Linked DNA regions of Caenorhabditis elegans. The protein of the gene in region 2 purifies or fractionates together with the protein of the main gene of each other region. This does not show direct contact. Each region holds a gene or a part of one and is shown on either strand. Other genes may lie near its edges.

Region 1 (7,084 bases), on a different chromosome or scaffold from region 2:
TTGATAATTTCCGGAAAAATCGATAATTTCCGGAAAAATCGATTATTTCTGGAAAAATCGATAATTTCCGGAAAAATCGATAATTTCCGGAAAAATCGATAATTTCCGGAAAAATCGATAGTTTCCTGAAAAATCGATAATTTCCGGAAAAATCGATAATTTCTGGAAAAATCGATAATTTCTGGAAAAATCGATAATTTCAGAAAAAATTGATAATTTCCGGAAAAATCGATAATTTCCGGAAAAATCGATAATTTCTGGAAAAATCGATAATTTCAGAAAAATTGATAATTTCCGGAAAAATCGATAATTTCTGGAAAAATCGATAATTTCAGAAAAAACTGATAATTTCCGGAAAAATCGATAATTTCCGGAAAACTCGATAATTTCCGGAAAAATCGATAATTTCTGGAAAAATCGATAATTTCAGAAAAATTGATAATTTCCTGAAAAATCGATAATTTCCGGAAAAATCGATAATTTCTGGAAAAATCAATAATTTCTGGAAAAATTGATAATTTCCGGAAAAATCGATAATTTCCGGAAAAATCGATAATTTCTGGAAAAATCGATAATTTCTGGAAAAATCAATAATTTCTGGAAAAATTGATAATTTCCGGAAAAATCGATAATTTCCGGAAAAATCGATAATTTCTGGAAAAATCGATAATTTCTGGAAAAACCGATAATTTCTTGAAAAAAATCGATAATTTCCGGAAAAATCGATAATTTCTTGAAAAAATGGAAAAATTATTTATTTTTTCAAAAATCAAATTTCAACAATTTTTTTTCAGATCCTGGATAGGAACCGGAAATTACGATGCGAATATCCTGATGGCGGCGCTTCAAAAACACGATTTAAAGGTGAACAACAACGATGCTCCGATCTTCCGCATCTTCGAAAAATCAATAATTATCGATTTTTTCCAGGTAATGTGGTTCGACAAGCGTGTTTCAGTCGAAAAAATCAATATGGAAAATGTGAAAGCAGTGGTTTTTAATATTCCATCACGGACCCTCCTCACATTGTACAGGGGACGACATTGGTTTGCAGTTATTCAGAAAAATGGAATGTGAGTTGCCGAAAAATCGATAAATTCGGAAGTTAGAATTATCGATTTTTTTTCTTCAAGAATCACCGATTCTTCCAAAAAATTGATGATTTCTATGAGAAATTACTGAATTTTCTTTTTAAAAATTATCGATTTTTTAAAGAAATTATCGGATTTCTCGATAATTATCGATATTTTGAAAAAAAATTTCGATCTTTTCGATTAATTATCGATTATTCATTGATTTTACTTCAAAAATTATTGATTTTCTTTCCAGATTCTACAACGTCGACTCAAAAATCAAACAGCCGCAGGTGATCGAAGATATTCGGAAGTTTGTGAAAATCCACGTGGATTCGCCTGATTCGGAAGTGATGCTGGTCGTGGAAAACAGTGTCGACGAGGCGACGGTTGTCGATAAAAATTAAAAAAATCAATTTTTTTCTTAAAATTTCATTTTAATCTTAAAAAATCGTGTAAAAATTGCAATTTCATCTATTTTTCTTTCTTTTTTCCATACATTTCAGGGTGATTTTTTTTGTTGATAGATTTTTTGTGTGCATAATTTTGTAAATAAATTACTTTTGTGGTTTCTATAAAGATTTTGTTTGAAAAACCAATAAACTGGGACAAGAAAAAAATGGTGGTGGCCTAGAAAAAATGTTGGTGGCCTAGATTTACTGTTTTGCTGCCAAGAACCTAGGAAGACATCTGGTGTCAGGCTGTCTCATCACTGTTTGATCCACAATAAAATGCGACATTTTTTGTACGTGAGCACGTTCTTAACCATGCAAAATCATTTGAGAACTCTACTCCCGCATTTTTTGTAGATGGGAGTAGATCAAAACGTAGATGAAACCGTAATGGGACATTATGACACCACATGAGAAGACGAAATTTTTTATCCGCGCCAAGTACATAAATGGTAAAGTTTAAAAAATATTGGGTGTTCTCCGGAAAAACATTCTGAAAAAAGTTAATTTGAGATATAAATTTTTAAAATTATGAAAACTAAATGATTGGTTATGGTACATCTTGAAAAGTACGGTCAAACTTATGCCTGAAAATTCAGATTTTATGATTGAACTGGAAGCTACTGGTACTTAAAAAATTTGGTATATAAATTCAGAAAGAGAAAAAGAAAATAAAAAACAGCAAAAATTTGAAACAAGTACCCGAAGAAAAATTCTGAAAAATTTAATTTTAAGTGAGATCTATATCAAAATATAAAGGAAGTCAGAAGCCCGCGCTGTAGATAAATATTCATTCTTATCGTAATAACAATTCTCAAAATTATACAAACTCGGTAAGAACTGCAATTGTAGTTGCCATTGCACATGCATTAACATCTCTTGCCAACTTCATATATCCCTGCTCTCCCCACGATGTCCCGAATGAGCCCTTCACAATCCAATATTTTTGCTCTCCCTCGATACCGTACCCAACGATTACCATTGATCGGATTTCATGTGTACTTGTACATTCTTCAATGGATGGGTTGTAGATTCCGATTTTATAATCGTAGAGGGATGGAGGGGCGCGCATCGCTGAAAATATTTGTATTGCTATTAAAGGTGGAGTAGCGCCAGTGGGGAATATGTTAAAAACCACTCCTTTGGTCCCAAAATGGCCAAATATCGTGATAAAACTTTTCAAAAAATTTTTGAAAATTTTTTATTAACTGTCAAAAAGTGGCAATTACTCAATTTTTGCCACTCATAATTTTGGAAGTCGACCAAAAAAAAAATTTTTTACTAAAATTTTTTAAAGAGTTTTATTATGATATTCGGTAGTTTTGGATCATTATAAGTACATTTAGACCAAATCCCAATTGGCGCTACTCTAACTTTAAATGATCTATCAAGAAATTTACTTTTTGCACAATTATGACCAATAAAAAAAAAAAACTCACTGAAAAACGCGGGTCCATAATTTGTGACATAAACTTTCCCCAGTACTTCATTACCCTCTGCCACAACTCCTTTTTTTAAATGAATTTTTGATTTAGTTGAGTCAAAGGTACACTTTTCATTTGTCTTGTCAACATATGGATAGTCTGCTTCTGTTTCTATGCCATGAGTGGCGAGGTATCTGAAATTTTGAATATTTAGCGCTAAAGGTTTTCATCTGACAAAATTGTTAAATAATTAGGTTCCGATTCACATTTATGGGTGTTTTAAACGACAAATGCTACCTATCATTATTGCATAAGCATTTATTATCAATTGATCACATTTTTACCACTCTATTAACTTCAAAGATTTAGGTATTTGAAGACAAGGTCTAATGACCTTCAAATTTGCGTGTCTCAAAAACGGATAGACTAATTAATAAACGTAATTAATAAACGAAATGTTAATCATGTTTGAAATAAAGAACAGTTTGCTGGTTGGAAATTTCTAGACCTTTCCGGCATCGAGGTACACGAGCTTGTATTTCTAAAACGACAGAGCCACTATAAAAATTTTCGCTTTTCAATTGCTCATCACGGTCTAAACCTTAAATCAACCCAAAACAATTACCCAATAGCATTCATCGCAAATTGCTCCTCACATCCCTTATATCCCTGATCATTACAATCAATAAGCTGCTGCTCAGAAAATGACAAAAGTGTTCCATTTGTAGCCTTGGCGTACATTGACTCAATACTGGAAGTTATCGCAAATGCGTGGGATGCATTGCATTTTCCCTGATCTTTAACTGGTCCAACAATTCCTTTCTCTCTCCAATCAAGAAATTCCTCAGTGGTTCGGTCCATGTGAATTGGGGTTTCCCATTGAAATCTTGTTGGGAGTGATTCAGAGGTTCTCTGCTGAACTAAAGAACCAATGATGTAGAATGTCAACGCAGTTAGAGTGAAGAGGATAATGGAATTGAAGGTGCTTCTCGAGTTTGCTGGCTTTTCGAACAAGTCTTCTCTGGAATAATTTACTTTCGATGTTAGGCGTAGGCTTAGGCTTAGGCCTTCTTCGTTTGTATAAAAAGAAAGACTTACCCCATTGCAACGAAGACTTTTTGCTTCTTCGCCTCATCTGCTTTCGAGCTTAATTTAGTAGCACTGACCATTGAGAATTTGTGATTTTCTTGCTATTTTCATTTAACTTTTATATATCCACTTATTGCTAACGATATTTTATTCCTCATGATGAGTCAGTCAAGTTCAAAAGTTATCAGCAATAGAAAACAAAAAAAAACTTGTTTTCAGTGAGAGATTTAGAGAATTGAAGTGGTAGTAAAGTAATTTCCTTCGGTTCTATTTGTTGTGTGATTTGTTTTTGATATCTATGTAGACATGTAGGCATGTAGGCATGTAGACAGGTAGGCATTTTTTGGAGTTTGGATTCAGTAGCTCGCATAACCGCCAAGTTTAAGCAGAGATACCTTTAGAGATATCAAACCTTTTAGAGTATAAATTGAGGTTAAATAAAACTAGGGCTGTACAACCGGACGTCCGGTCGTCCGGTTGGGGGTAGCTATCCACGACGGCCGACAATTTCCGAGTTTCACCACCCACTATAAAATTGCTGATTAAGTATAGTGAGTGGCGAAACTCGGAAATTGTCGGCCGCCGTGGAAACCTACCCCAAAACCGGACGCGGTGCGTCCGGTGGTGTCAAAATCGGACGACCGGACGCCGATTTGTACAGCCCTAAATAAAACTGACCATTTATATGCGAAATTAGTAGATTTTCCAAACTTTGAAAATTCATATCTGACTTCAAATTAAATGTTTCAAAAATTCCCGTAGCCATTTTGTCGCAAATTTTGTGTTCTTTCAGAATTTGAAAGCGGCATTCCAACAACTTCCGAAATTGCCGAGTTCAAGCAGGAAATGTGGATTTTTGAGCACATTTTGAGTTAATTTGGAATAGTCAATTTAAATGCAAAAATAGTAGATTTTTCAAACTTTGAAAATTCATATCTGACTTCAGACTAAATTTTTCGAAAATTCCCGTAGCCATTTTTTCGCAAATTTTGCGTTTTTTCAGAATTTAAAACGACAATTTGTAGGCATGTAGGCATGTTTGGTTCATTTACAGTCAAATTTGACCACGTTTCAGTCAATTTCTCTTCCATTTTTCACATTTAAACTCCCCTTCCTGTTTAAAATTGCCGTCGTAAAAACGGTATAAATCATTCTTATCACCAGCAAATATATCAGTAGTTGTGCATTATGACGGTAGTACATTTTTGGATGGGGAGCAAACATAAATCATTCAATTCGACGCCCTTTTTAAGCTGATAAGGCAAATTTCTAAATTTTCGGCAGTATCACTTCTGTTTCTACACAGGCTTCTTGTCGCTAGAAATGAAATTCCGGTTTTTGGCGTTATGTGTTGGGTTACTGTAAGTTTTGGGCAAAATTGTTTGATTTTTTTCGTATTTTTTCCAGAAACTGGGGTTTTTTAGAAGAAGCATCGAGTTTTTTCAAATTTTTAGCCGACTTTTTAAAATGGAAAATATTGATTTTTCCAAGAAATTGACGATTTTTCTTCCAAAATTATTAATTTTCTTGGAAAAGGTATTGATTTTTCTCGAAACAATAATTTTTCCAAATTTTTTTCAGATTAGCCACATTGGTTAGTGGCAATGGAGACCCGGGAGCCTCAAATTCTTCATCGGTAGCAACAACCGTCGCAGCTTCTCCCTCAACAGACGCTTCCTCATCAGCAGCACCATCCCAGGCTCCAGCTTCTCCAACTTCCGTTGACCCATCTGCCACTACTCAAGCAGCCGCATCCTCTGGAGCACCCGTATCTACAGTATCCCCATCGTCCGGAGCAACCACTGCCGAGCCATCAAGCTCTTCGGCGGCTCCAGTGACCTCTGGAGGGTCTACTGTATCAGCTGGACCAACTACACCAGCACCGCTTCCAAATGTGACGTACAGTCTTTTGCGTGAGTTGTATTAGATAGCTATGTGAAGTAGGCACGAGATCCACTGTAGGTAGCTTGGTAGGCAGTCGTAGGCTGCCTGGTAGGCAGTCGTAGGTAGGTTAAACAGCGCAGAAGACGGGAAGGCACGCGTAGGTAGAAAGACTATCAGACACCGAGTGCCCACGTGAAATGCAAAGACAACTTTAGCAGTACATAGAATGGCATGTAGGCCGCCTTGAAGGCAGGCAAGTAGGCGTTTACACCTATTCACAAATTTTCAGAGTTCTCCTCTCCGGTATGCGTGGATGCTTCTTGCACCTACACTTTCAATGCTCCTGGCAACAACCAAGTCCTTCTCGCCACTGATCAATCTGCTGTCGCCACAGAGCGCACCCAATTCTCAGGTCTTCAAGGTCAGGCCAGTGATAAGGATAAGGCTGTGAAGGAGGCCAATGATGAGGCAGTTCAAAAGATTAAGGATCTTCAAGCCCTACTGGATAGTATTCAAAAAAATTTGAACGCGATTCAAAATAATATCATAGTGATCACAAATCAGCAAAATGACGCGCAGACTACTCTGACGTTTGTGGAGAAGTTTATCGGTCAGGTGAACTCGGCGCAGGGCAATTGTCTATATCAGAGATGTTTGAAGCGTGAGTTCTGAAACAGTGGAGGTTTTTTCTAGTAATTGTGATTTTTTTCAGCGACAACTCCAGCACCACCAAGTAAGTTGCAATGAAAGGAGGCCAAGAACACCTAACAGGGATGAAAGCTTTGAAACGATAGTCTAGATTACTACAAAAATATCATTTTTTAAAAAAATATTTTCAACGGTTGTATTTTTGTCCCTGTCTTTTCGGCAAATTTTTTGAAAGTTTTGAGAAAAAACTCATTCTGAAAAATTTTAAAGAAAATTTATACAAAAAACAAGCGGAAAACTTTCGAAATAATCCAAAATTTTCAGGAAAATCGGTAAATCGGCAAATTGCCGGAATTAAAAATTTTTGGCAAATTGTCAATTTGCCGAAGTTTCCGGAAAACGGAAATTTTGGTTTTGCACATTTTTTTTGGAAATGTCATAATTTCAATTTTAATCGGCAAAAAAAAATTTCCAGCAAACCGGCAAATCGGCAATTGCCGGAATTGAAATTTCT
Region 2 (9,320 bases):
TTCCGGAAGCTTACAAATCCATTACTTACAGTGAAGATTTGTAATAATTGAGAATGATACATTTTTCACAGTCACTAGAAAGTTCCTTCAAACATACCGTATTTCACCTGTTAGTTTTGCACCCCTCTTTCTGTCAGAACAGCAATTCCTTGCGGAAACTTCAACAATTTCGTCATTTTTGGCTAAAATAAATTTTAAAGTGTGAATATAATTGATAAATTAATAAAAAGTATGTATTTTGTATGATCAGAATGTATCAAATCTAGTTGTTGATGAGAAATGGTCAATAGTCTTGCAGTCTCTATTAGTCTTGCATGCAAGACGAAAACAGAAATACTGTATTTTGAGCTTCACAATTAAGTGCAGTGTGCCACAGTAAATATTTAACTGGTAAAATATTTCAAAAAATTAGACAAATAACCTGTCACGATAGTTTTAATGCAAATTACCGTAGATGATTCTGATCCTTTTCTAAAAAGAAGTGGTGCTATACGTCCTACCAAAATTGCTATATAAACCGTCGAAACTGTAGTTAGAGCTACAACATTTATTTTCTCGAGACTACTTCAAATTATTTTCAGATCTTTTGTCGCTTATTTTGTTATATTATAAAATTGTTGTCCCAATTATTTTCGGCAATCCTTCTTTGTTTTTTGAGTATATGTTTTTTATGATTACTAAATTGTGAGAGCCAATTCACCACGATCAATTTTAGATCAAGAACTTTAGTGACACCAATTTCCCTTTTCCCAATAAACATGAACAACACGCGAACCACATTACTTTTTCAAGTATACTCCGACTACTCCGATTCAAATGATTACAAATATTTTGTGAGATTTTCATATTGTACATTCAAAGAAACATCAACAGCATTTCGATGACTGCATTTCTGACCAAAAGAAACGAATGCCATAAATCCATTCAGAACGGGCACATTCGCAGAAATGGCATCTTTCTTTACGATGCCATGGACACGTTTCTGCATTTACTTCTCAGTGTTTTTGTTCATATAGTCACACCTACCTATCAGGGGTGAGCGGAAATTGAAACTTAATTGCAATTGTTGAATTTTTCACATTATATTCACTTGCCAGTCTTTGTGAATTCCCACAACGCACACTGCGCCCGTCGCTTTGTGTGTAATAAATGTGATTGAATAGAAACACAATTTTTTGCTCTAAATCTACAGTTCAATCTCATTTCCCAAGGATCTGGAATGCCCGCCGAGCTTTTGAACCAGACATGTTTAATTTCTAAACCCATTTTGAGAAACGGTTAAATATGAGTTTAAAGCTATAAAATTACCGGAGTGAGCTTGCGACAAGCTTCTCGAAATGCTCAGATCTGCATTGGCGCTCTCAGGACATTCAGGTAGACATTATGTTTTTTTGCCAATGCATATCATTTTCTTGATTATAGAGAAATTTGAAAAATGTCTGGAATTTTTTTCACAAATCGAAAACTGTGATAACCGGAAGCATGCTTTATTTTCCGAAAACTTACAACTTTTTTCATAAAATCACAAAAATGATATCTATTGGCAAACATATAATATGTGCACCTTCAGACCCTTCCCAGTAACGCTTATTCCACTTGTGAAGATTTCAAATTGATCTTTTCAATTTCAACCTTATTCTCACTTTACATGAAGTTTTTTTTTGCAATATGTAATTGGATATCACAATTTAGTTCCTTGTAAGCCGCAAACAATTAATTTTTTGTTGACTTTTCCGGTAGAATTAGATCTCAGAGAAGGTCAATTGTTATTTTTAGAACAAACAAATACATTTTAGGATGTTCAACCTAGATATAAATCCGAGTTGCATTGAGCAATGTTGCAATGAAGTTTAGCCAAGTCGCCTAAGGGTTATTCCTTTTTTTTTCGTTTTGAATTTCAATTAAAAAGTTCTAGATAAAATATATGTAATGTTAACATACTTTCATTAGTTTTTGTTGAAATTAGACCTCATACACCAAAAAACTTGCTCTAACTATAACTTCAATTTTTTTGTTTTTACACTTCGTTTCACTTTCTCCGTGATGTTTCTCATTCCTCAATTTTGTACCTGTTTCTGTATTAACGTATACATTACAAACGTACCAATTTTTTGTATCAAAATGTGTTTTAATATTGTCTAAAATATAATTTTCGGGATTGTGTGTTTTTCTAATTTCTTGTTGGTTATAGACGGCTTTGCCGCAAACTTGCCACTTGTCTAGACCAATTTCTCTTGAAAATATGATCATATTTGAAAAGAAAGCCCGACTCTGGGTTTTCAAATGTTTTCAGTGCTCTATTGTGCTAATACAGCTAGGTCAGAGACTATAAACTAGTTACAACTTGACAGATGTTTCTATAGACACATGAAAGATAAATATTTCAGTACGTGTTCGGTGAACTGGAAATTCTCATTCACCGTCATCTAATGTTTTGTTCTATTTTCAATTTAGCTTAAGGATGACATGACATTGCTGAGCACATTACACTTTTCCTTGAAAGTTTTGATCTTTTGATTTTTATTCTCAATATGTTAGACTACTTGGTTATTTTTTCCTTTGGCTTACTAGTTTAGCTATAATTGTTAGTTTCATATTTAAACCTCTTGTTACCTTGATTTTAAAATTAGTGAGGAGAATGACCATTAATCTAGTTCAGACAAACGGCAACAAGCATTTTCAACTGATAAAATAGTTTACAAAGTGTTTACTACTTTTATTTATATGATAACGTTTCTATAACTGTTCTTGACAATCGTTTATGACGTCTTGAAACTTTTTCTTTTGGTCGAGTTTAATATTGCAACAGTTTAGCGGTTTTCCTTAAAACTAGCAACAAAACAGTCATAAAAGTGGGATCAAGAGATAACCCATTTATATTTATATTTGAGTAAAGAATACAATTATTTTAAGCTTCTATTTTGCGTATGCATTTTTTAGTGTATAACAATTGATAAACATGTTATTTTGTAATTCCACTTATAGTGTATTGCTTGAAGCAATATGAAGGAGAAATGTTTATAATCAGTCTAATTAGTGACCGAATAACATAACAAAAAATAGACAATTTTTAAAGATTTTTTTATTTGCAGTTGAAAGTGACAATTACTCACCTATCATAATCTTGAAAGTTGACCAAAAAAAGTCTCAAAAAAGTCAGAGTTTTAATTTTAACTATGATCATATTTTTTGATTGAATATTGTAGGACACAGACGTGTTCAAAATTATTCAAAATGTCCTATCTATGCTAATGTTAAATATTATGTATTTTTGGAATATCATTTTAAAAACATGTCCCGCATCATTTCTTTAAATTTTTCCAGATTTTTGTTCCACTCAAAAAAATGGGCGGAGCTGTACTACGTGATGTTATTTTTCACGACAAACTCTTTCCTCAGTGTTTCTCTTTGCAGTCTTTTTCTCAACTATTTTGACAAACAATCTTACAATATCATGTATTCAGATGGGTTCTAAAAGTTCGAAACCAGAGGGACAAGAAAACAAGCCTTGTTTCTTAGATGCTTCTCAAAAACGCAGAGAAGTTATTTCAAATCTTCCTGATGAATCGGAACATGACACCGACTCGTTGAAGGCTCAATCAGAAGGCCGAGGACTGAAGCACGTCCAATTTGTTGATAAGCTGAAATTCGATTGGGATGATCGTCCTTCACAAACAAATCCAGCACCACCCAAAACATTGGAAGATTATGAAATCGAAGTAAGTGCAATTATTTTGCAGCTTAACTAATGTTCAATATGTTTTTCTAATACCGTATTTCTTCTATAGTATGGCCTTCCTTTTAGACTTGCACTTCTTTTTAGTATTACACTTTGAAAACCCTCCAAAAATTAATATTGAACTACCTATTAGTGTTGCACTCCCTAATAGTCTCGCATCTACTTTTATTTCTGGTACAAATCCTCCTTTCTAATTTTAAGATTTTAACAACATTTTTGCCTATTTTGCAAAAATTTTTGACAAAATTTCTATAAGATTGAAGTTATTAAGCCTTTCTGTTTCAATTACAATTGAATGTTCTAAATTATCAAAAAAAAATTGGAGTTTTTCCAAATAAAAAACTAATAAAAATGTTCTGAAAAACAGTATTGCTCTTCCTATTATACTCCCTAACAGTATTGCAAGCGGGAATACCTTCGAAAAATAGTATTGCTAAAGCCATACTAATAGAAGAAATACGGTAGTTCAAAACATTTTTTTCAAATCTAGTCCAGGCTGTAAACTTTCTAAACTTTTTTAGTCGGCTTTTAAAACAACACCTGGACAAGTGTAGTCGTGAGTAAAACATAGAAAAAGTAAAGAACACTGGTGTGCAAACAGCAGACGTCTAGACTTAAAGTGTCGTTTTATGGGAACACGAGATCTTAATACTTACTAGAAATATGAGTCTGGCAAGTTGGTCTTTGGATTATAGGTTTCTTAGAAAACGAGTGAAAAGAATATCGCATGTAGTAATCTTTGCAAGTAGTAATTTCAACCAGCTAGTGGGTTCATGCAAGAGTTATTACATTGAGTTAGTAATTGTGTACATCAATGCATTACTAGTGAAGAAAAAGTTGGGAAACGTGCAAATTGATTTCAGGTGGATATTGAATGTGGTGTAGCTTACTTTGAGAATGCGCTATTCACTATTCTGTGATAAAACAATATGAATAAGTGTAAAATCAAAATAAAATTCTGTCTGTTTTAAATGCAATAGTTAGCCTCTTCATTTAATTTAAAGAACAATTAAAAAATTTCACAGATCGCATGAATTAATCCATCATTTGTATTTTCTCTAGTTTCGCACAGAAAATGTATACTTACCTGAATGCCGACTTAACCATACTTTGTCGTTAGAAATATTATAGACCCAAACTAACACAAAGATAGTACTTTTCTCATCTGCGCAGAAGTTTTATTGCAAATTAGTTAAATTACAGAGCATGCTTGGGGATGACAAGGACAATAAGACAGCTGATAAAAATGTAGTCTGGAAGCGTAAGGGACCTAAACACGGTTGTGTTCAGTTTTTTCGCAAAGAAAAGAAAGAAACCAACCTTGAACCAGAACCTCCTAAACATCCAGGCGCTGACAAGGCTGAGAGATGGCAAAAACAAACATGGAAAGTTTTCTCCGGTCCACTACCACCTTTGGTTAGTACATCGGGAATTGATGATGAAGAAACTGTTATCCTGAGCAAAGTTATTCACGAAGCAACTCAAGAAGCATGTATAGTGAAGACGTCGGATAACCCGGCATCAAGTGAGGAATTCAAAGTGACACCAGTTCATGTAACTAGCTCTTTGCAAATGACCTACATTTCAATTAAATTTCAGCCTACTAAAAAACCGTTTATAATGATCCATCAAACAAATGAGCAAGAAATCATGAAAACACAAGGAAGCTTTCGTTTGAACCAATGGCTCAATGTCAAAACAGATATTAATAGCGTATCATTGGAGAATTCGGATGATTCAATTTTTATGCAGATGTTCAATATCATTTCGCATGAACGAAATCGTCGATGGTATGCCTATCGAAGAGAACATGTAAGCAATTAGTGAATTTAAATAAGTTTTGAATTTTTTTTTTCTAGGAATCCCTGACACTGGAAGAAGCTTATTTGATTGGAAACGGAGGAGTAAGTTTTATTTTTAAACAGTTTAATTAACTTATTTCATGAAATTCAGTATCTTCCCGGAGAGACGAAACGTTTTGGTATAGCGGAGGTCGCAAGAAAAAAAATCAGTAACACTCTAAGAATCAACATGATTCCAGTTGTTCACAGTCATCAACCCGTTATCGGTGTCCCATTCAAAGGATACTTGCGCGATATTGTTGAACTACCAGAATGTTCAATGGAATTCATTCAAATCATCAATCAGCACCTCATGCCTCACGGTCTTCAAGTTATTGATTTGAGACGCAGATCAGAGGAAGTGCTCGGACAACCGGTAAATTGGACAAACATTTAATACAACTGCATTTGTCGACAGTTCGCCTCAACTTCTAAACTAATTTTAGATTTTTCCAATAGGAATTTCAAGTTTCTAATGTTGGTTGAGAAATTGTGCCGCATTGTTTCAAATCGATGGGTTACAAATGCATTTGATTAAATTTGCTAATAAGACTGTGGCCTCTGATTTATTGTGACGATCATGGTGAAATACAGTATAGTAATAATGTTATTAATGTACATAGCATATTTAAGCAAATTTCTGACCGCGGAACCTTTTTCGATAATGTTCTCAGAATTGTTATTGGGTTCACTGAATAATTCGTAAAGTTGTAAGAACACAAGACTAAAAGACATTACTTTTCCGGCCAATAATTTATTTTTATTAACCAGTTGCAAAATCAATTCGCGTAATCCAAATATACATAATTTTTATTTCAGCCATTATACCATGATGATTACGAGATGGCCAATCACACCATTGACGCAGTGAGTTCAACATTTTTAACAAACACAATATTTTTTTTTTCACAGATATCACGTTCAGTTGAAGCTCTCAATTCCATCAAAAACACAGCAAAATATTTCATCGTTTATGCTATTTATGCAGAGTGAGCCCTTCTAAAAAAAGATCGTATGCTTATAGAAGTTTCTAATTTTAGCACAGTACCAATGTACATTTACCAAGCAATTGTCCGATTCAAGCCTGGGCTTCCAATCAATTCAGCTGACTGGATTGACGATGGAAAATCGCGATTAGAAATTGAAGAACCAGACATGGAGCCTGTTAACACTCTTGACAGTGTTTGCTGGTTAATGCAAATCAGAGAGTATCGGTACAAGGTTGCCGCAGAAAAATCAAAATATGAGAAAGAATTGAAGCAGAAGCAACGTGAAGAACAAAAAGAGCAGAAAGAACTGAAACGGCAACAATGTGAAGAGTTGAAGAGACAAAATGTAAAGAAACAGCAAGTAGCTAGCATGTCAACTTGGAAAAAAGTGAAGACTTTCTTCAGAATTAAATCGAACTAGGAATAATTCGAAATAATTGTTGTGTTATTTGTAAAATATCGTTGTTAACATTCCTATCTCATTTTCTACAAACCTCTTTATTTTCCCATCTCTTTGTTTTTCTGTGTTGTTACTTCTGAGAATCAGTATATTTACCGAGCAATGCAATGAATTGACACACAGAAATGCTTCCAACAAAAGTTCAAATTGCATACTGTGATTTTAGTAACTCTTTTTCACGTTTTACTACATTAGTGAACCTCTTATTTTTCTTTTGCAGTAAAAAGTTGATGTTCCTGACAACTGAGTTAAATCTTGGTTGTTTTACATTTTGAATTGCATAATTCGCCGATTATTTATTCATATTTCTACATACATTTTCGGAACGTTTGTCCTTTTATTTATACTTCTGTCTGCAATAACTGAACCTTCAAATTCATCTGATTGTAATTTAAATTTGTTCCCGTTCACAATCGTATCAATGATTCCTCAAATGTTAACAGTTCCGCGCGTACGATCTTTAAAACAGTTTTTCGAAAACTGATTTGATTTTCTCAAGTGTTAAAGTCCTACTATCCAAGAGACAGTAAACTTCTTGATGTTGCCCGCTATAAAATTAGATGTTAAAATGGCGTAGTTCAAAATGTTTTAGTACTAGCACTCCCTTTTCAGTTTCGTTAGTTTCGAAGGATTTTTCTGAAAATTTATTCAAAGAACACAACAACTGAACAAAAAACAAACGTGTTTAATTACCGAAAAACCTATTGCGGAATGAATAAAAAGCTAAAATTCCGAAAAAAAAACATTTGACAAAATTTCAAAACATCCCGTTGCGAAGCTTTAACTTTTTGGGGCATTTTTTTGCTTAAAAGAGTAAACTACCAGATTTTGCTATTCCACCAAAAACATGGCATGTTTTCAAGATAAAAGTAACCTGGTCCAGTTCTAAAAATTCAGAATCAACTTTCAAAAAACGTTCAAAAATATCTATTTGAAGGAATTATGTCTGAGTCGGAATTTGTTGGCGCGCTTTATAGTTGTTAGCCTCTTTCGGTATCTTCAAAGATTTCAATTCCTGATTTTCATCAAGATTTCAATTATTTCTATTTATTCTCAACGATTTGATAAATAAATATGTTTAATCCCAACTCATGCACGCTGTTCAAAAACAAGGAAACACAAAATATTTACGTTTATTACTTTTTTGTAAAAAAAATAACATAGAATAACATGCACTCTCGGCTAGAATAAAAGAGAGATTAAGTTAAGAGATGGAAGATTTTAGTACATTGAGAGATACATAATAGATTATTCAGAGAGATTGGCGAAACAGCTCAACGTTTATGCACGTTCTCCACGGATGCGTCGAGCAAGCTGGATGTCCTTTGGCATGATGGTGACACGTTTGGCGTGGATTGCGCACAAGTTGGTGTCTTCGAAGAGCCCAACGAGGTAGGCCTCAGAAGCCTCTTGCAGAGCTCCGATGGCGGCGGATTGGAAACGGAGATCGGTCTTGAAATCTTGAGCTAGAATAAAAACAGTTGATTAATTAATAAAGAACATTACAATAAATATTACCGATTTCACGAACAAGACGTTGGAATGGAAGCTTGCGGATGAGAAGCTCGGTGGACTTTTGGTAACGACGAATCTCACGAAGAGCGACGGTTCCTGGACGATAACGATGTGGTTTCTTGACACCTCCGGTAGTTGGAGCTGACTTGCGAGCCGCCTGCAATTATTTCTTCGATAAAAAATAATATTTCATAATGACAAACCTTAGTGGCCAGCTGCTTGCGAGGAGCTTTTCCTCCAGTTGATTTACGCGCGGTTTGCTTGGTACGAGCCATTTCAATTCTGGTTCACCTGAAAATTATACGCAATATTGATAATAGAAGTCAGCATCAAAATATATGGAAAATGAGATGACTAAGAGCAAGCGAACAGCGTGAAAAAACGAAGAAAAGTGGTGTTTATGCGGAGACGCGCAAGTCTGTTATTATGCGACTCAACATGACCGCGACGCGGCACGCTCCGCCAGTGAATATGGAATCTTGTGACCATGTGAAAATTAGAAAGTAAAACTAAACTTGTGATTACTTTCAGAGAATTAGAGAATTTAGATACTAATGAAACTGATGAAAAAACATATCATAACTGTTAAATTTTATACTTCGATCTTATAAGAAATACTTTACATTTTACGAATTCAAAAAATTACAAAAGTTTAAGCATTCGAGGATTTTTTCAAAGACTAGTTAACGATGTATAGCGTTTTAGGTCATATTTTAACTATTCTAACTATTTAAGTAAAATATCAATAATTATTTTAAAGGTTAGCGATTTTTGTA

The links. The genes of interacting proteins can lie anywhere in the genome.
Region 1: the proteins of F45E1.5 (region 2) and Y71H2AR.2 fractionate together in Caenorhabditis elegans (co-fractionation; one large-scale study listed by BioGRID). This does not show direct contact.

What each region holds. Positions count from the first base shown.
Region 1 is NC_003281.10:2,836,810-2,843,893, forward strand, and holds Y71H2AR.2 (Peptidase C1A papain C-terminal domain-containing protein), read right to left. Parts: upstream 4,119-7,084; coding exon 4,048-4,118; intron 3,971-4,047; coding exon 3,575-3,970; intron 3,144-3,574; coding exon 2,965-3,143; intron 2,600-2,964; coding exon 2,346-2,599; 3' UTR 2,311-2,345; downstream 1-2,310. Other genes in the region: josd-1 (ubiquitinyl hydrolase 1), read left to right, coding at 795-864, 931-1,073, 1,330-1,480; H34I24.2 (CUB domain-containing protein), read left to right, coding at 5,362-5,399, 5,620-5,951, 6,212-6,583, 6,635-6,655.
Region 2 is NC_003284.9:7,973,236-7,982,555, forward strand, and holds F45E1.5 (Rhodanese domain-containing protein), read left to right. Parts: upstream 1-3,464; coding exon 3,465-3,719; intron 3,720-4,942; coding exon 4,943-5,293; intron 5,294-5,338; coding exon 5,339-5,551; intron 5,552-5,598; coding exon 5,599-5,643; intron 5,644-5,692; coding exon 5,693-5,956; intron 5,957-6,399; coding exon 6,400-6,447; intron 6,448-6,492; coding exon 6,493-6,569; intron 6,570-6,620; coding exon 6,621-6,990; 3' UTR 6,991-7,500; downstream 7,501-9,320. Other genes in the region: his-71 (Histone H3.3 type 1), read right to left, coding at 8,311-8,495, 8,548-8,701, 8,748-8,819.